Elephas maximus indicus: one gene and its partner. The protein of the gene in region 1 purifies or fractionates together with the protein of each later gene. This does not show direct contact. Links are inferred from orthologs where the notes say so. Each region holds a gene or a part of one and is shown in the gene's direction. Other genes may lie near its edges.

Region 1 (10,075 bases):
CCCTTTAATCATTATATAGTGTCCTTCCTTATTCTTTAAGGTGGATTTTGCTTTAAAGTCTATTTTATCAGTGATTAATATTAACACTCCTGCTCTTTCTTGGTTACTGTTTGCTTATTTTTTTCCATCTTTTGAGTTTTAGTTTATGTCTTTGTATCTAAGGTGTGTCTCCTGCAGATGGCATATATATAGATCATGTATATATACATGTATTTTATGTATATATACATATACACATATACATATGTACGCATAGATACATATATATTCTGCCACTCTTGTCTCTTTGCTGGTGCATTTAGGCTATTTACATTCAGTGTAATTATTGATAGGTTATGAGGTTGCTGCTGTCATTTTGATGTATTTGTGTGTGCATATGTGTGGTGCTGACGGTTTCTTTGCTACATTTACTGTACTGAGTTCTTTTTGTTTATGTATTTTCTTCTCATCTCTTTCATTATTGTTGATTTTGTGTTTGCTGAGTCTTTACGTTTTTCTTCTTTATTTCGATGGGTAGGTTTGTTAGCTTCCTTTGTGGTTACCTTGAAATTTACCTTTATTTTTTTAAGTTTAAACCAGTCTTTTATTTCTTGATATTGCCTTAACTTCCTCGCCCTATGGAAGTTCTATGGCTACACTGTTTATTCCCTCTTTTTTGTTTTCATGTTGTTGTTATTTACATATTGACATCTCTGGTTTCCTATTTTTAATCTTTTAGCTTTGACTTGTTTTTGAGAATTCCCTATCTGGGTTGGTATCTGGTTGCTCTGTCTTGCATCCTAGTTTTGGATTGTTGTCTGATGTTCTTGGTTTTCTAACTGGAGACTTCCCTTTAATATTTCTTAGAATTTTGGTCCTCCCACGTGTCTGTCAGTTTGTCATACTGTGGGGGCTTGTGTGTTGCTGTGATGCTAGAAGCTATGCCACCGGTATTCAGATACCAGCAGGGTCGCCCATGGAGGACAGGTTTCAGCTGAGCTTCCAGACCAAGACAGATTAGGAAGAAGGACCCAACAGTCTACTTCTGAAAAGAATTAGCCAGGGAAAACCTTATGAATAGCAGCGGAACACTGTCTGATATAGTGCTGGAAGATGAGCCCCCCAGGTTGGAAGGCACTCAAAAGGTGACTGGGGAAGAGCTGCCTCCTCAAAGTAGAGTCGACCTTAATGACGTGGATGGAGTAAAGCTTTCGGGACCTTCATTTGTTGATGTGGCATGACTCAAAATGAGAAGAAACAGCTGCAAACATCCATTAGTAATCGGAACCTGGAATGTACAAAGTATGAATCTAGGAAAATCGGAAATTGTCAAAAACGAAATGGAACGCATAAACATCGATATCCTAGGCATTAATGAGCAGAAATGGGCTGGTATTGGCCATTGTGAATCAGACGATCATATAGTCTACTATGCTGGGAATGACAACTCAAAAAGGAATGGCATTGCTTTCATCATCAAAAAGAACATTTCAAGACCTATCCTGAAGTACAACGCTGTCACAACACTGTCAGTAACAGGATAATATCCATACGCCTACAAGGAAGACCAGTTAGTACGACTATTACTCAAATTTACACACCAACCACTAAGACCAAAGATGAAGAAATTGAAGATTTTTATCAGCTTCTGCAGTCTGAAATTGATTGAACGTGCAAGCAGGATGCATTGATAATTACTGGTGATTGGAATGTGGAAGTTAGAAACAAAGAAGAAGCATTGGTAATTGGAAAATATGGCCTTGGTGACAGAAACAATGCTGGAGATCCAATGATAGAATTCTGCAAGACCAACAACTTCTTCATGGCAAATACCTTCTTTCACCAACAGCAATGGAAGCTATACACATGGACTTTGCCAGATGGAACACACAGGAATCAAATTGACTATATCTGTGGAAAGAGACAATGGAAAAGCTCAATGTCATCAGTCAGAACAAGGCCAGGGGCCGACTGTGGAACCGACCATCAATTGCTCATATGCAAGTTCAAGCTGAAACTGAAGAAAATCAGAGCAAGTCCACGAGACCCAAAATATGACCTTGAGTATATCCCCCCCAAATTTAGAGACCATCTCAAGAATAGATTTGATGCATTGAACACTAGTGACTGAAGACCAGACGAGTTGTGGAATGACATCAAGGACATCATACATGAAGAAAGCAAGAGGTCACTGAAAAGACAGGAATGAAAGAAAAGACCAAAATGGATGGCAGAGGAGACTCTGAAACTTGCTCACAAGTGTCGAGCAGCTAAAGCAAAAGGAAGAAACGATCAAGGAAAAGAACTCAAGATTTCAAAGGGCAGCGCGAGAAGACAAACTATTGTGACGACATGTGCAAACAGCTGGAGACAGAAAACCAAAAGGGAAGAACACACTTGGCATTTCTCAAACTGAAAGAACTGAGGAAAAAATTCAAGTCTTAAGTTACAATAGTGAAGGATTCTATGGGGAAAATATTAAATGACACAGAAAGCATCAAAAGATGGAAGGAATACACAAGGTCATTATACCAGAAAGAATTATTTGAGGTTCAGCCATTTCAAGAGGTAGCATATGACCAGGAATCGATGGTACTAAAGGAAGAAGTACAAGCTGTCTGAAGGCATTGGCGAAAAACAAAGCTCCAGGAATTGACGGAATATCAACTGAGATGTTTCAACAAACAGATGCAGTGCTGGAGGTACTCACTCGTCTATGCCAAGAAATATGGAAGACAGCTTCCTGGCCAACCGAGTAGAAGAGATCCATATTTATGCCTATTCCCAAGAAAGATGATCCAACTGAATGTGGAAATTACAGAACAATATCATTAATATCGCACGCAAGCAAAATTTTGCTGAAGATCATTCAAAAATGGCTGCAGCAATATATCAACAGGGAACTGCCAGAAATTCAGGCCAGTTTCAGAAGAGGACATGGAACCAGGGATATCGTTGCTGATGTCAGATGGGTCCTGGCTGAAAGCAGAGAATACCAGAAAGATGTTTACCTGTATTTTATTGACCATGCAAAGGCATTCGACTGTGTAGATCATATCAAATTATGGATAATATTGCGGAGAACGGGAATTCCTGAACACTTAATTGTGCTCATTAGGAACCTTTACATAGATCAAGAGGCTGTCGTTCAGTCAGAACAAGGGGATATTGTTTGGTTTAAAGTCAGCAAAGGTGTGTGTCAGGGTTGTATCCTTTCACCAAACCTATTCAATCTGTATGCTGAGCAAATAATCTGAGAAACTGGACTGTATGAAGAACGGGGCATCAGGATTGGAAGAAGACTCATTAACAACCTGTGTTATGCAGATGACACAACCTTCCTTGCTGAAAGTGAAGAGGACTTGAAGCACTTACTAATGAAGATCAGAGACCACAGCCTTCAGTATGGATTGCACCTCAACATAAAGAAAACAAAAATCCTCACAACTGGACCAATAAGCAGTATCATGATAAGCAGAGAAAAGACTGAAGTTGTCAAGGATTTCACGTTACTTGGATCTACAATCAACAGCCATAGAAGCAGCAGTCAAGAAATCAAAAGATGCATTGCATTGGGTAAATCTGCTGCAAAGGACCTCTTTAAAGTGTTGAAGAACAAAGATGTCACCTTGAAGACTAAGGTGTGCCTGACCCAAGCCATGGTATTTTCAATCACCTCATACGCATCTGAAAGCTGGACAATGAATAAAGAAGGCCATAGAAGAATTGATGCCTTTGAATTGTGGCATTGACGTAAAATATTGAATATATCACTGACTGCCAAAAGAACGAACAAATCTGTCTTGGAAGGACCGGGCAGTGTTTTGTTCTGTTGCGAACAGGGTCACTGTCACTATGAGTTGGAACGGACTCGGCTGCACCTAACAACAACTACAAAAAGATTATGTGCAATTGCTATGCCTACTTCAACAATAAGAAAAAAATGAGGGCTGAAAACCGTTCTAATGGCTTCTACTGGACTAAGCTGATACTCAAATATCTGGGTTTTTTTTTTTTTGTGGGTGCTATTGTTGCTGTTTTATTTTCATTCCTGCAGCTGGATCATTGACCTATTTCACTTATTCTCTTACACTGAAGGCAGAATTCCAGCATTTTGTGAACCTTTATAAATGAAAGGCTTTAGAGCACTTGCAACGGTGCTTTTCAAAGATTATTTTTTATTTACTTATATTTGTGATTCATGTCCTTAAAAAGAGAGTATATACCCAAGTTATGGGAACAAATATTCTTGAGCAAATTTTTATAATCTTAAACTTAGTAATTTGAAAAATTAATACTATGGACAACAGCCTATAGTGTATAAAGACTACAACATACCTGAGAAGAAAGAGAAAAGGAGAGGGGAGACACTGCTTGAAAGAAAGACATGGAGAAACCAGGTAAGAACCATATCATACTTTTGGAAAATGAGATTAAAGAGGCAGAGGAACTGCAGTCAGCACTACCCGCTGTTTCATTGCGAGAAGCTTTGGACCAGAGAGTAAGGTAAAGAAGAATAAACGACGGCACCGTTGAAGATCTTCTGTTCATGAACATCTCCCCCGCTTATTCTACCAATTGGATGTTAATTTTTCTTTTAAATTTTATTTATTTTGTTGTTGTTACTGAGACTATACACAGCAAAATAATTTTTCTTAAAAAAACCTTTAATAAGAATATTTTGCTTAAATAAAAATAAGTTCCTACAGTCACAATGTAAGTAAATTTTTGGAGAATGTAAATTTTTGTTAGGAGTTTTGGCTGAAACACAGACCAGTTCAAAGCGAAAACCATAAAGGTCTCTAGACGAGCCAGGGCAGAATGACTTAGAAGCTGGGCAAAGGTGAATAAAGGAAGTGAAAAAAATACCTACTTTGCAATTTGCCACAGAAAAATGATCGGTCACGATTTAATGATCTCAAAGTTTCCTTCCAGCTCTAGAATTAATTCTGAGGGTTATTATGCAAAAAAATGAAATTTTACATACAAAATCATAATACGCAACATTCCTTCCTCTAATCTACATCAGTCAAATACTAAAGCAGGAGTTCCCTTTTCAACCTCAACAACATAAAAGCGAACGACTAAAAACTAGTTGCAAAAGACACAGGAAAACCAAAAGGTAGAAGTCACAGGGAGGTAAATACCTTCCGAATAAAGAATGTAATAACACACTGTCCAATAGTTTGATAATATTTGATAACTGACTGAAATCAGAAGTCCCAAGGAAATACAGATTATTGGGATGGTTCAGAACCTCTTCCCAGGAACACACTAAATAAGGACCCTGACCAGCCAGAGGCGAGAAAAAGAGATGATTTCTCCACCAGCCTCAAGGAAGTCCCTTCCCCAGGCACAATGGAGAAGAGCTCGGTTCTTTGCCACCCTGTTAACTGTCACGTTATTATCTGCCTTGCCACCTCTGCCTCAGCCACCCGTCACGTCTCACAGTCCCCTCCGCAGCCCTTCTCCACAAAGTTTCACTTTCCTGCCTGTTGGTCTCAAATTCTTCCGTGGGTTTATGCACACCTGCTGGACTCCAGCTCCTTCTTCCGGCCCCCCTGGAGTCCAGGCAGGGCAGCTGGGTCCCCCACTGTCCAGCAGATTCAGGGGACGGTGGGACCAGAACTCGGAGGGGTTCTGCGCCCACACCCCCATCCCGGAGGCTCCTTTTTCCCGCGGGTCATACCCACTCACAGCGCACAGTGTGGAAGGCGCAGCGCGGTTGCTTCTCGAAAGTCTCGCCCAACTTGAGAACTCGCTCGCGACTGCCGAGGTGCAAGTGTCCCGCCGCTCCATTCATCATTATCCTCTGCCTGCGACTTTGCCGCCGCCGCCGGGCTCGCTACCATCTGCCACCTCAGCCTCAAGTAGCTCCAGCGGCAGCTGCGAGCGCAGCCACGGCAGGCCCCGCCTTCCGCCCGACGCGCGCGGCCCCAGCGGGCGCGCTCGCGCGCTGATTGGCTGCCTGGCGAAGGGCGCCCCGCCCCCTGGCTCGGAGGCGTCTGGTCCCGCCTCCAGAGCCCATCCCGCGTTGCGACGCACGCTGGCCCGGGAAGGCCGCGCCTCTGAGGCGAGCGGTGGGAGAAGGCCGGGCTGGAGGAACCCGAAGCGAAGTTGAGGTAACGGACTGGCTGGCCCGGGGCTGGCCCGGGGGCGGGGAGAGGACCCCTGGATACCGGGAGGCCCGGAAGCCAGGCTCCTGGGGCAAGTAACCAGGTATGTCGGCGCTCTTAACCGGAGGCTCGGCCTGCTTCAGCCCTTTTTGCTCAATGTTAAAAGGGCCTTTTACCGAGTACTTACTTGTGTGGACTCGACGGAAACCGGTTGTGTGGAAACTGAGGTCCGGGATGGGGCTGTATCTGGGCACAAGGCCTGGTGTCTTGCCCAAGGTCTGGGCGCGCCAAAGGCGGGACTGGAACCCTGAGTAAATGAGCCCGCGGACCCCAGAGCCTCGGTCCTTGAACCTGAGGGCAGACGACGCCGTTACCTGAGCAGCCCTTCTCGGACCTCTGTGTTCCTGAGGAAGTGCCTGGTGGAGTTAGGCCTGGGAGAGGAGAAGTGGACGGAGGGAAGAAAGAGGATTCAGAGACGGTAACTGTAGACGTTTGGGATCACTTGCCTTCTTTCGTTTACTTCACAGTGATCCGTGGATGCAGTAACAGGCATCCTATAGGGATAAAAATACGTGACTCCTATAGGATCGAGAGTGGGGCTGGAGCTGGTAGTCTGGCAACAGGGTAATAAAAAAATAGCATCCGTAAATTAATAAATAATTGCCACAATGTTTTTTTTCTGTCAGAGCTTATTAATTTAACGGTAAAGATGGGAGAAGTGTTGCTTTGGAGCCAAATTGAAAAGCACCCAAAAGAAACTTTACAAATGGTTCCCAAAACCAAACCAAACCCAGCCCGCTGCCATCCAGTCGATTCCGACTCATAGGGAACCGCTGATCATTCTTCATTGTAGTTATGTAAAGTGAACTCCCTTACTTCCACCACAGCCAAATTGGCCAGTTTATTGCAGGGCTTCCAACTGGTTCCTTCTGGTTTGGACCCCTGCTGATAAAATGCATTTCCATCCCTAACCTCTTGCTGTCCAGTTGATTCTGACTCCTAGCGACCCTATAGGAGAGTAGAACTGCTCCATAGGGTTTCCAAGGAAAGGCTGATGGATTCAGACTGCCTATTCTTTGGTTAGGAGCTGTAGCTCCTAACCACTGTGCCACCAGGGCTCCATTTCCACCCCAGATATACCAAACCACCAAACCCATTGCTGTTGAGTGGATTTCCACTCATAGTGACCCTATAGTATGGAGTAGAACCGCCCCATAGGGTTTCCAAGGAACGGCTGGTGGATTCAAACTGCTGATCTTTTGGTTAGCAGCAGAGCACTTAACCACTGTGCCACCAGGGCTTCACCCCAGATATACTGACTCACACTCTACAGTTGAACAAGATCCCCAGGTGTATAATAAATTTTGAGAACCACTGTTCTACTAGTAGTTCTCAAAATTGGTCCTTAACCAGCAGCATTAGCATTGCCTGGGAACTTGTTAGAAATGCAAATCATCAGGGCTTCCAACAATTTGAAGCCCTGATTTATTGTTCTAGATGAATAGATGAATGTCTCCTTCAGCCTATCTGCTTGTCTAAATTTCTACACTTGTAAGGCCTACGAGTGGTTAAGAGGAAACCCTGGTGGCATAGTGGTTAAGAGGTATGGCCTCGAGCCAAAAGCTCGGCAGTTCGAATCCACCAGGTGCTCCTTGGAAACCCTATGGGGCAGTTCCACCCTGTCCTGTAGGGTTGCTACTAGTCAGAATCAACACACGGCTAATGGGTTTTGTTTTTCTTGGTTTTAAGACTGTACCTGAGTGCTCAGGTTCTGGAGCCAGAATTTCTGAGTTTGAACTCTGGCTTCATACCTAGCATTGTGATTTTGTGCAAACTAATTAACTCTCCAAAGTTAAGGCTGCTTATTGTTAAAATCAGGGAAAAAATAATATCTCTTAGAATAGGTGCCTTCATGGCGCAGTGGTTAAGCGCTCAGCTGCTAACTGAAAGGTCCGTGGTTCAAACCCACTAGCTGCTCCATGGGAGAAAGATATGGCAGTCTGCTTCCGTAGAGATTACAGTCTCGGAAACTCTGTAAGGCAGTTCTACTCTGTCCTATAGGGTCCCTACGAGTCGGAATTCAACTTGATGGCAGTGGCTGTTTGTTTGTTTGTTTATCTCTTAAAAATTGTTGAGAGGATTAAGTTAGTTAATATATGAAAACTTTTAGAAAAATGAATGGCAAATAATAAGAGCTCTCCAAGTAGTTTTTAATGTCTAGCTCTACCGTCAGAACATTTGAGGGCCGTCCTTGGTGGCTCTCTTCTCTTCTGTATATTAATTATTCTTAAAAAAAAAAAAAAAAAACCTGTCGCTGTTAAGTTGATTCTGACTCATAGCGATCCTAGAGAGCTGCCCCATAGGGTTTCTAAGGCATGGCTGGTAGGTACAAACTGCTGACCTTTTGGTTAGCAGCCTAGCAGCCGAGCTCTTAACCAGTGTGCCACCAGGGCTCCTTAATTATTCTAGGAGATGGGAATTGCTACTTTGTTTATAAGTCTAAAAAACTGGTTCAGGGAAGACCAGTCCTCTGACTTTATTATCTTATCATCTGTGTTATCTATTTGGTGCTTAAGATATTGTATTTTATAGATAGTTAAATGCCTTTTCTTTCCCAACTAGAACATCATTAATCATTGTGACCATTGCATCTAACATAGCGCCCTACACACAGATGTTTGGTGATGATCATGTTTCAGTTACGTTTTACTATGTTAGCCAGGAGGGCAGGAGCTATGTTTGAAGCCCATCTTATTCTTTCGAAATGACTTCCTGTCAGAAATTGGAGGTTCCCATACTGTAACAGGGAAAAAAGCAGAGGGTCAGGAAATTGAGTCTTGGAATATACAAGGTTCATGCCTTTATTCATTCTTTCAACATACATTCATTAAGTACCTACCACATGCCAGGTACTACTCTAGCAACTGAGAATACAGCAGTGAACCAAAGAGTAAGACCTGTACAAGGCTAGTCTTGGTTTGGCCCTCATGAAGCTTACATTCTAGTGCAAATTTCCCCCAAATATATGTTAAAACAAATTTTTTATATGTTGTATTAGTCCAGTAATAAGCAAATAAATTAATGGAACTGACTAGAATTCAAAAAGTATACCCAAATATATTTATGATAACTTAGCATATGACAAAAACAGCATTTCAGATTGCTACTTTTATGTCTTTTCTTGGCTAATTACCTTAGAAATTTAATGTAGGTATGTGCATTTGACTTTCTAGTACTTTTTAGATCTTTGGGTAGGAAGGGCCTTTCTAAAAAAGACACAAAAAATAGAAGCCATAGAGGAAAATACTGTTATATTTTCTACATAAAAAATTTTAAGCTTATGATAAAGACACCGTAATCAAATGTAATGGCAGACAAGGAGAAACTGTTTACAGTCAGCATAAAGGTAGAGAGAGTTCATATCCATGTATGAAAAGCTTCTACAAAAGAATAAGGCAAACAAACTAGTAGAAAAATGGTCAAAGGATGTGAGTAGAAATATATAGAAGAAGAAATGGCCAGTGAACATGAAAATATGCCTGACTTCCCTAATAAATACAAATTAAAATAGCATGATACCAATTTTCATCTTACAGATTAGCAAAAATGTGAAAGATAACATGTTAGTAAAGGACTAAGGAAATGAACAGCCTCATGCTTCATGGCGGGAATACAAATCAGAAAAACATTTTGTAGAAAAACCTGGCATTGTCTAATCAAGATGTAAACTATGTATACCCTGTAATCCAGCCATCCAACTTCAAGGAATTCATTCTACAAAAATACTAGCATGAGTACATAAACACACATACACTGATATTCACTGCATCATTGCTTGTAATATCCTACAACTGGAATGATTATCAATAGAGGAGATGTTTAAATATATTTTGATATACTCTTTGTTGTTGAGAATATACACGTACACCAATTCAGCAGTTTCTTTGTATACAATTCAGTGACACTTGTTACAGTCTTCG
Region 2 (10,055 bases), on another chromosome or scaffold:
AGAGCTATCTATCTATCATGAGCTAGATATGATCAGATCCACAAGTCATAAGTCCATGGGCCCAGCAGTGATCTCTTGAAGTAGGGAAATGGTATAGCATGGAGCCTAAGCATGTTCAGAAAACACAAGTAAATGACATAAATGGGTGGCTCAGACTCACACGGCACTTATTTCTATAGCATGGGCATCCCTTCCTCAACTAACTCCTATGGCTCCTTGGGAGTTCCTTATAACCATCTATTAGAGAATGGGAAAAAAAATTAAGCCATGTTGACAACAGGTTGGCACATTACGTTGGTTGGTAGCTAAAACTGGACTGCTGCCACACTATAGCCCCACTCAGGCCCAGCTCTAAAGAACAATAATGAAGGATAATCTTCCCAGTTGGTACAACTGAAAGCAGTGCATTTCGTTGTTCATTTTATGTAGAGGGTGAGGTGGTCTGAGGTAAAAATATTTACCGACTCCTGGGTTTGCCTTTCTTGACTGCAGTGCATCTGCCAACATTCACAATTACAGGAATTATAGCATTCCTGATCAACATTATCTCACTGTTGATATTGTTGTATCAAGTTCATTCCAACCCATGTTGACACCAAGTGTGCAGAGTAGGACTGTGCTCTCTGGGTTTCCAAGGCTGTGATATTTTGGAAGCAGATGACCAGGCCTGTCTCTGAGCGTCTGGGTAGGTTCAAACTGCCAGCCTTTCAGCTAATAGGATAGCACTTAGCCATTTGTACCACATAGGAACTTATTTTATCTCAACTAAGGAACCCATTTTCAGGGAAAAATAAAAAAGTATGACAATATATACATGATCATGGAATCCATAGAAACTGCCATATCCCTCATCACCCAGAAGTATCCAGCCTTATAAAATGGTGGGATGGTCTGTTACTGGCTTAGCTAATGTGCCTGCCTGCTTAGGACAACACCCTGTAGAAATGGAGTGTTGTCTTACAGGATGTGGTAAATGTACTGAACCAGCCAATAAAGAGTGCCCTCAACAGCTAGAAGACATGGCTCCAGAAACCCAGAGGTGGAAGCAGAATTGGCCCATCTTACCATCACCGTCAAGTGACCCACTCATAGAATTTGTTTCCGGCCTCTCAAATTTGGGCTTTACTAAATCAGAATAACTGGTTCCTCAGGGATAGTATAGGGAATGCTTCTACCATGATACACAATATGGATTTCCCTGAACTTGAAATTCTCACTAACACATGGTTACTTTGGGCTTTTTTTGGTGGTAAACTAGCTAGCAAAGAAAGGAATTACTATAATGATGGGAGTAATCAACTGAGATCAGCAAAAGGAGCCTAGGATTTTTGCTACACAGTAACAGTAGACAGTACCGTATCTGGTATCCAAGAAATTCACTGGGGCTTATCTTGGTGTTTTGTACTCAAGGATAAGTTGAAGGCAACTGCAGCAACCATGGCCCAACCAGAGTAAGGAAAATAAAGATAAAGGTCTGGATTACCTCACCAGGGAAGCAACCTAGATTAGTTGATATGCTGGCCAAGGGTGAGGGGAAGTTAGGATGGATAGAGGAGGAGAGAGTTAAAAAATGTACATCTGCCCTTGGCATCAGCATAGCAGCAGGGACTGAAGCCTGTATTAACTCTCTTGTATTAAGTCCTTGCAGGAATCGTGGCTGGCCACCACTCTGAAGTAGCCTCTGTGAGAGAATAGACTTAATGGAGGGCACAAGCAGATCTGAATGGTGTAAGAAATGGCCTGAAATGGACACCCTCTGTGCACTACTTCAAATCTCTTCAGTCTCTTATTTCAACCACTGCTCCAGCTACCTGTTCTGAGCAAGGTTTGATGAGCTTTCAGCAAGTGTAACGTGACAGCACCTCTCCTCTCGCTTCCTGCCCTAGGACTTCTCTGATGTGGAAGCCAGTGTGACATTCACAATTGTGCATTTTGGAAGTGTGGTGTAGTTGATGACCAGGAGCATTATCCTTTGATAAAGGAGTACCAGAGCCAACAGGTAAAACCTTCTTCTATTTTTTCCCCCATTTGGACAGTTCAGAGACTCATTTCACAAGACTTCATAGAAGGTCATACAGGATCAAGAAAACATTCCAACATGCTGTTAGCCAACTCAATAACACATCCTTATGTTGACTTTACTCATTCTTGTTTCACGTACCCTCCTCCTTCCCTCATTCGTGCTCTCTGGGTTCATACCCCCAAATAAACTACTAACACATAAGTTCTTGTTTTGGCCTCTACTTTTGGAGGAAGAGGAGATACAAGGCTTTCATTTTTGTACACATTAAGTGTCAGATTTTATTAGTCCAAAAAAACAAACTCATTGCTGTCAAGTCAATTCCAACTCATGGTGACCCCATGTGTTACACAAGAGAACTGTTCCACAGGGTCTTCTTGGCTGTAATCTTTACAGAAGCAGATCACCAGGCCTTTCTTCTCAGGTGCAACCCTTAGGTTAGCAGCTGATTGCAAGCCACTTGTACCACCCAGGTATGCAGTGAGCCTGAGGCACTTACTGGATATCTAAATGGAAATGTCAGGGGGGCAGTTGGATATACAAATCCGGAATTCAGGAAAGAAGTTCAGACTACATAAATAAATGTGAAATACAATTCATTTCCCTGCTTTGAGAGGGCTGTAACCATACAGGTAAACAAAAGATAGAAAATAGAACGAAGTAACACATGCAATTGTCACATAAAGAGTGTCCACAGTAAGTGTTTGGAGATTGACTAAGCAGGGACAGAGGCGTTTTTATACAGAAAGGACTCGATAGAGATCACACTCTTGAAACGGAAGTCATTCCATGAAAGTGAAAAGATTCCAAGCAGCATTGATTAGACCATATTATTTTCAATAACAAACGGATCTCTACAATTTCTGTGGTTTTTCCCACCAAATAGTATCTTCGGATAAATAATGAAAGACATTTTGCACAGCTGATTTGTCACTTTCTCAGTGAATCCGTCCCTGGCAGAATGAATTACTACCTCTTTTGCATATCTACAATGTTATGAATTGAATCGTGTCCCCCAAAATTGTGTTATAAACCCTAATTCCAGAACACTTAATTGTGCTCATGAGCAACCTGTACATAGACCAAGAGGCAGTCATTCCAACAGAACAAGGGGATAGAGTGTGGTTTAAAGCCAGGAAAACTGTGTATCAGGGTTGTATCCTTTCACCATACTATTTAATCTGTATGCTGGGCAAATAATCTGAGAAACTGGACTATATGAAGAACTTGGCATCAGGATTGGAGGAAGACTCATTAACAACCTGCAATATGCAGATGACACAACCTTGTTTGCTGAAAGTGAGGAAAACTGAAGCACTTACTGGTGAAGATCAAAGACCACAGCCTTCAGCATGGATTACACCTCAACATAAAACAAAAATTTTCACAACTGAACCAATAAGCAACATCAAGATAAATGCAGAAAAGATTGAAGCTGGCAAGGATTTCATTTTACTTGGATCCACAATCAATGCCCATGGAAGCAGCAGTCAAGAAATCAAACAATGCATTGCATTGGGCAAATCTGCTGTAAAAGATTTCTTTAAAGTGCTATAAAGCAAAGATGTCACTTTGAGGACTAAGGTGCACCTGACCCAAGCCATGGTATTTTCAATTGCCTCATGTGGAAGACGGGAGAAAAATTGATGCCTTTGAATTATGGCATTAGTGAAGAATACTGAATATACCATGAACTGCCAGAAGAATGAACAAAATCTGTCTTAGAAGTACAGCCAGAATGCTCCTTAGAAAGGAGGATGGCAAGCCTTCTTCTCGTGTACTTTGGACATGTTATCAGGAGGGTCTAGTCCCTTGAGAAAGACATCATATTTGGTAAAGCAGAAGGTCTGCAAAAAAACAGGAAGACCTTCAATGAGATGGATTGACACAGTGGCTGCAACAATGGTCTCAAACATAGCAAAGATTGGAGGGTGTCACAGAACTGGGCACTGTTTCCTCCTGTTGTGCATGGGGTCGCTAGGCATTGGAACCAGCTCAAAATCACCTAACAGCAAGAAACTAAGACACACGGTATTTCATCTCTTTTTTCTTCCTTTGTTGTTGGGTTTATCTCACTAGGGTACAATTTATGCATCTATTTGATAGGGTCACTATAAGTCAGAATCGAATCAACGGCAACGGGTTTTTAAGGGTTTTTCTCCAATGATAGTATGACCCCCTTGTGGGTGGGATCCCTATCTTTGTGTCTCTAGCACCTAACACAGTGCCGAAGATTGATTATTAAATAAACGAACACATGCATGAATGGATTTCTACAGCAACTTGCAACGACATGCTCCTTTGAACTTCCAGCACACTTATCTGACCTGTACCTCTCTTCAGTCACTTATTTTGTATCCTCTTTTTTATATTTATTTATATCTACATCTTGTCTGTCCTACCATACTCTGAACTCCTTCAGGGCAGGATTCATGTCCGAATCACCTCTGTACCTGGTATCAACCTGTCTGGTTTAAAACAGGTGCCAGGGATATGGAATCAATGAATCATTTGCCTTCCCACCAGCAACACTGGCAACACCCGTGCTTCTCAAATGTAAATGTGCGTAGGAGTCATCCCCTTAAGATGAAGATTCCGATTCAGTACATTTGAAGTGGGCCAAAGAGGCTGCTTTTTCTAAAAAGTTCCCAAATGGTACCCATGCAGCAGGTCCGCGGACCGTACTTTGAGTAGCAAAGTCATCGAAGCAATGATTCTCGCCCTTAAAGGTGTATTTAGAATAATCTGGGAGCTATCGAAAGTGCTAGTATCTGGGTCGCATCTCCAGAGTTTTAACTCATTTAAACTCTCCACGCTTTTAAGTAGCCAGGAACAAGACTTAAGCATCACAAACGCAAAAAATAAAACACTTCAGCTGATACCCTCTTAAACGAATTGCTGAAACATCTGAGTAAATAATTCTTCTCAAAAGTAATACATCGGGCGGCACCAAAGCCTGCCGTTTCAAGTCAGCGCGCGGTAGCGGCCGGGTCCCTGACCCTCCTTGGCGCAACTCCTCCGGCGAAGCCCCGCCCCGCCGCGCCCTGCCCCGCCGCGCCCCACCCCACCGGTGGCGCCACGCCCCTGCGTCTATTGGCCACTCCCTTTTTCCCTCCGTTTTTTCCTCCTCTACAGGGTTGACTTCCGGCTCGGAGCTTTGTCACGTGCCCGGATATGGGAAGTGGTAGGGAAACGGCTGCTTCCCGTTCACCGCTTAATTGAGGGGAGCTTTCCAGTACTGGTCGCCGCCTTGCCGCGTGCTGTCTCGGTCTTGGAGGGCCCGCCTCGGCGCAGCCGGGCTCGGTACTGTCCTGCGGTAAGCCTTCGGTCGCGGCTGCCCCGTAGTCCCGGCGGCAGGCAGACGATCGGGCGGGCGCCAGGGCCTGAGGCGGCACCTCTTTCCCACTGCTGGTTCGGCGACCGGGGTCAGGGCACAGCTCCCTCCGACGACAGTCCCTCCTTCTTTTCCCGGCGTCGCTGTGTAGGGCGCAAAGTCTGGGCCGAGCTTCCCCCACTTGGCCTGGGGTCTGGGAGAAAGTGGAGCAGAGAAGGCAATCTTCACACATCCGTTTCCGGCTCCGCCTTTGGGGACCAGATTTCATTTTTATCCTTGATTGTTCGAGCTTTGGAGTGGACGGGAAAGGAGGGTGTGGCAGTGTCTCCCCGCTCTCTCTTTTTTTTTTTCTCCCTAAGTCTATATTTTCTTCTAAGTTTCTTAAGTACATTCCTGTCTTGGTATGCCGTTCTCTTCACTGCATGACGGCACTCCACGCGCTAAAGTGTGTCGACAGCATGCGGGGCTCCACCCACATGGACGCTCACTGACAAGCTGTCACCACAAGCCCACCACAGAGTGGAATGGTCCAACTGAATTTAAGGAAACAAGAACGAAAACACAGAGTATGCAGTGGCTGGCTGCCTCTGGAACATAGTCAGACACAGGTTCTTAGAGCTGGAAAATAATTTTAGAGAACCTGTAATGATTTATTTACTGCCTTCCAGAAAGTATTGTAAAGTGGAGAGTAGGTTACTTAGCTCTTAGAATGTAAATGCCACGAAGACAGGGGCGTCTTCGTGTCTTCATGAACGTGTTTATCACGTTCAATAGAGAGATACCTGGCCCTTCATAGGCATCAGTATTTGCTGACCGAATGAGGGGCCCCACAGTGCTTTTCATTTATGTCTAACATCTTTATGAGGTATACCCAATCCTCTCTTGTTTTACCATTTACCATGCATTGAGTCCTTGCTTTTGGCCAAAGAGGGATCATGTGGTAAATGTTGGCCACTATTAGTCATTCATTTGACCAGTTTTTACTAATCAATTTAGATGGCTCAAGAGGTGTTTGTCGAGTACCTACTATGAATTCAAAACACTTTGATAGAGTGTGTGTTTGTCTCCCTCTCTCTCCCCCTCCTTTTTTTTATTTTTTCTTTAAAAGAGTTCTCCAGATCCAGGAGCGTATGATGTCATGAACCAATTAGACAGCCAGTGCTTGGTTGTTTATTAAGTGCAACTGAAATTGAGAGTAGAGATCAATTTGTACTTAAGATCCTTACTGAGTCAACATCATAAAAACCCTGAAGTGTAATTACATTCCCTGTATGGAAAAGCACCTAAGTGAAGATTTAAAGCCTGAAACTTGGAGTAGGAGGTTCGGATATAGAAGCATTAGGAAAATCTTGAATGAGGGCATGGTGTGATGAAGCTGTGTTTTAACATTATCTGCTTATTGGAGTTTTGGGGGGTTATGGAAGTTTGCAAAGAGATGGCCTGATGCTATAGTATTTAAATATCATGGATGATGTGAGTCTGGTTTAGTGTGGTGAGAATGGGAACAGAAAGGAAGGCATGAATTATGTGTGTCGGGGGGGGGAGGTAACAAAATGTGGTGACAGATGTTGAGAGTGGAGGAGAGGAATCAAATAGGGCAGATTTTAAACCTGGGCATTTGCGTACAGGTGTGAGAGTTGGAAAGAGGGAACTTTTTGGAAGCCGTAGTTGTTAAATTATTTAGTGCTATCATTTTAGTTGATTTAAGTATTTCTTAAATGCTTACTAAGTGCCCTTTGCCAAGTTCTAGGAATACAGAGACGAATATGACATGATCCTTACCTATAAAGAGCTACTTTTAATGGAGAAGAGAAGAGAATGTAGCTAGCTGGAAAATACAGTTGGTAAGTGCTGTGCTAGTGTAGTAGAGAGTTAGGGAAGTAGAAGAGGAATTTTTTTGGGGTGGTGGTGGTGGTAATAGTCTAGCATGATCTTAAGAGGGGAGTTAGAATTTCCTAAGGAGAAAAGAAAAAGATATTGCATGAGCATAAGCCCAGATATAGAAAAGTAAACTGGCCAGTGTTCGACGTGGTGTAGGGTGGAGTAGAGCTTGTGAGCAAGTGTTTAGGCCCTGGAACATATTAAGGGATTAGTAATGGGCATTTTGTAATAGGCGAAAAAGAGGTTAGGATGGGTGAAGATGTAGAAAGATGGAGACAAAAGCAATTGGGGAGAATTATACTTCATGGCCTCTATATTATCTGCAAGTCAGTGATACAGTCATCTGTGGAGAGTGAGGGGGCCCACACCATTTGGGGTCTAAATCAGAAATAGTAAAGATTTGTGACAACAGTGATGGCAGATGGGAAAAGGAAGCATTAAAGGAAGTGTAAGTGTTAAAGAATTGCCGAGCAGCATTGAAAGTCCAGGTTTGGATGAATTTCGATATTTAAAATGCAGTCAGTGAGCACAGATATGTGGCTTTCTTAAGTGGCCTATATTGTTGTTGTTAGGTGCCATTGAGTCGATTCCAACTCACGGCAACCCTGTGTACAACAGAATGAAACCCTGCCAGGTCCTGTGCTATCCTGACTGTTGTTGCTATGCTTGTGCCCATTGTTGCAACCACTGTGTCAGTCCATCTTGTTGAGGGTCTTCCTCTTTTTCACTGACCCCCTACTTTACCAAGCATGATGCCCTTCTCCAGTGACTGATCTGTCCTGATAACATGTCTGAAGTATGTGAGATGTGGTCTCGCCATCCTTACTTCTAAGGAGCATTCTGGTTGTACTTCTTCCAAGACAGATTTGTTTGTTCTTTTGGCAGCCCATGGTGTATTCAGTATTCTTCGCCAACAGCACAATTCAAAGGTGCCAGTTTTTCTTCGGTCTTCCTTATTCATTGTCCAGCATTATGCGTATGAAGCAATTGAAAACACCATGGCTTGGGTCAGGCATACCTTAGTCCTAAAGGTGACATCTTTGCTCTTCAACGCTTTAAAGAAACCTGTTGCAGACAATTTGCCCAATGCAATGTGTCTTTTGATTTCTTGACTGCTGCTTTCATAGGTGTTGATTGTGGATTCAAGTGAAATGAAATCCTTGACAACTTCAATCCTTTCTCCGTTCATTATGGTGTTGCTTATTGGGCCAATTGTGAGGATTTTTGTTTTCTTTATGTTCAGGTGTAATCCATACTAAAGGCTGTGGTCTTTCATCTTCAGTAAGTGCTTCAAGTCCTCTTCACTTTCAGCAAGCAAGGTTGTGTCAATCTGCATATCAGTTGTTAGTGAGTTTTCCTCCAACGCTGATGCCCCGTTCTTCTTCATATAGTCCAGCTTCTTGGATTATTTGCCCAGCATACAGATTGAATAGGTATGGTGAAAGGATACAACTCTGATGCACACCTTTCCTGACTTTAAACCATGTAGTATCCCCTTGTTCTCTTGATCCATGTACAGATTCCTCATGAGCACAATTAAGTGTTCTGAAATTCCCATTCTTTGCAATGTTATGCATAATTTGTTATGATCCACATGGTTGAATGCCTTAGCATAGTCAATAAAACACAGGTAAACATCTTTATGGTGTTCTCTGCTTTCATCCAGGATCCATCTGACATCAACAGTGATATCCCTGGTTCCATGTCCTCTTTTGAATCCACCTCGAATTTCTGGCAGTTCCCTGTTGATATACTGCTGCAGCTGCTTTTGAATGATCTTCAGCAAAACTTTGCTTGCATGTGATACTAATGATACTGTTTGATAATATCAGTGACCTATGGTAACCCAATAAAAGTAGAGAAAAAATATGGTTTACGGAGATGGGTTAACTAGGGCGAACTGGTCAACAGAGTAGGATAATTGAAGGGGATAGTGTGGGTGTAGGAAATGACCACTGCCTCCAGGCTAGGTGGGAAAAGAAATTAAGCTAGAAGGGGCTAGACAGACTAAGAGAACAGGGAGGAAGGGGAAGTTAAAAGAGGTCGAAATAGGTTAAAGAGGGATGGAAGAGGAAGAATGAGTGATTTTTGTGAGGAGCGATTTTTGTAATAAGCGCAGAGATAAACATTTCACAGATTGAGTAAAATATAGCAAAGATGTTACAAAAGTATCAAATGTGTTATAAAAATTCATTGTAAGTCATTTTTAAAAAACTCACGATTCATTTTCCAGTAGAAACATTGTTACATTGTTATATGTTGAAATTAGTTTCCTAGGCAAGCTCACTTATGAAATACTGCACATTGGCATTGAAAAATAATTATATGTACACATATACAGATATATACCACAAAAGTAAAATTAAAGAGTTTTTTTTTTTTTTATGTTGGTGTTTGAAAAAAGCTTTTGAGTTGGAGGAGAAAAAAAGATTAAAAAAAATTTTCTAACAGCTTTATTGAGACGTAATTCACATATCATAAAATTTACCGTTTTAAAAAAGTATACAATTCATTGATTTTTTTAGTCTATTCACAAGGTTGTACAACTATCTATAATTCGAGGACATTCTTATAACCCCCAAAAGGAATCTGATATATTAGCAGCCACTCCCCCTCCCCTCCTTTTCCAGTCCCCTGGCAAGCACTAATTTATTTTCTGTCCTAATGGATTTACCTATTCTGGACATTTCATGTAAATGGAATCGTACAGTGCCTGGTCTTTGTGACTGGCTTTTTTCAATTAGTCTAATGTTTTCAGGATTCATCCATGTCGTAGCATGTGTCAGTACTTCATTTCTTTGTTTATGGCTGAATAATATT

Evidence for each region. The genes of interacting proteins can lie anywhere in the genome.
Region 2: the proteins of IQCB1 (region 1) and EXOC1 purify together in Homo sapiens (affinity purification with mass spectrometry; 3 studies listed by BioGRID and IntAct, counting the BioPlex papers as one, with this or other methods). This does not show direct contact. The link is inferred for Elephas maximus indicus from reciprocal best matches to the Homo sapiens genes IQCB1 and EXOC1.

Annotation. Positions count from the first base shown.
Region 1 is NC_064819.1:12,352,541-12,362,615, reverse strand, and holds the start of IQCB1 (IQ calmodulin-binding motif-containing protein 1), read left to right. Parts: upstream 1-5,966; 5' UTR 5,967-6,198; intron 6,199-10,075. Other genes in the region: EAF2 (ELL-associated factor 2), read right to left, coding at 5,677-5,785. UniProt on the Homo sapiens protein: Involved in ciliogenesis. The function in an early step in cilia formation depends on its association with CEP290/NPHP6.
Region 2 is NC_064823.1:105,278,985-105,289,039, reverse strand, and holds the start of EXOC1 (exocyst complex component 1), read left to right. Parts: upstream 1-5,246; 5' UTR 5,247-5,336; intron 5,337-10,055.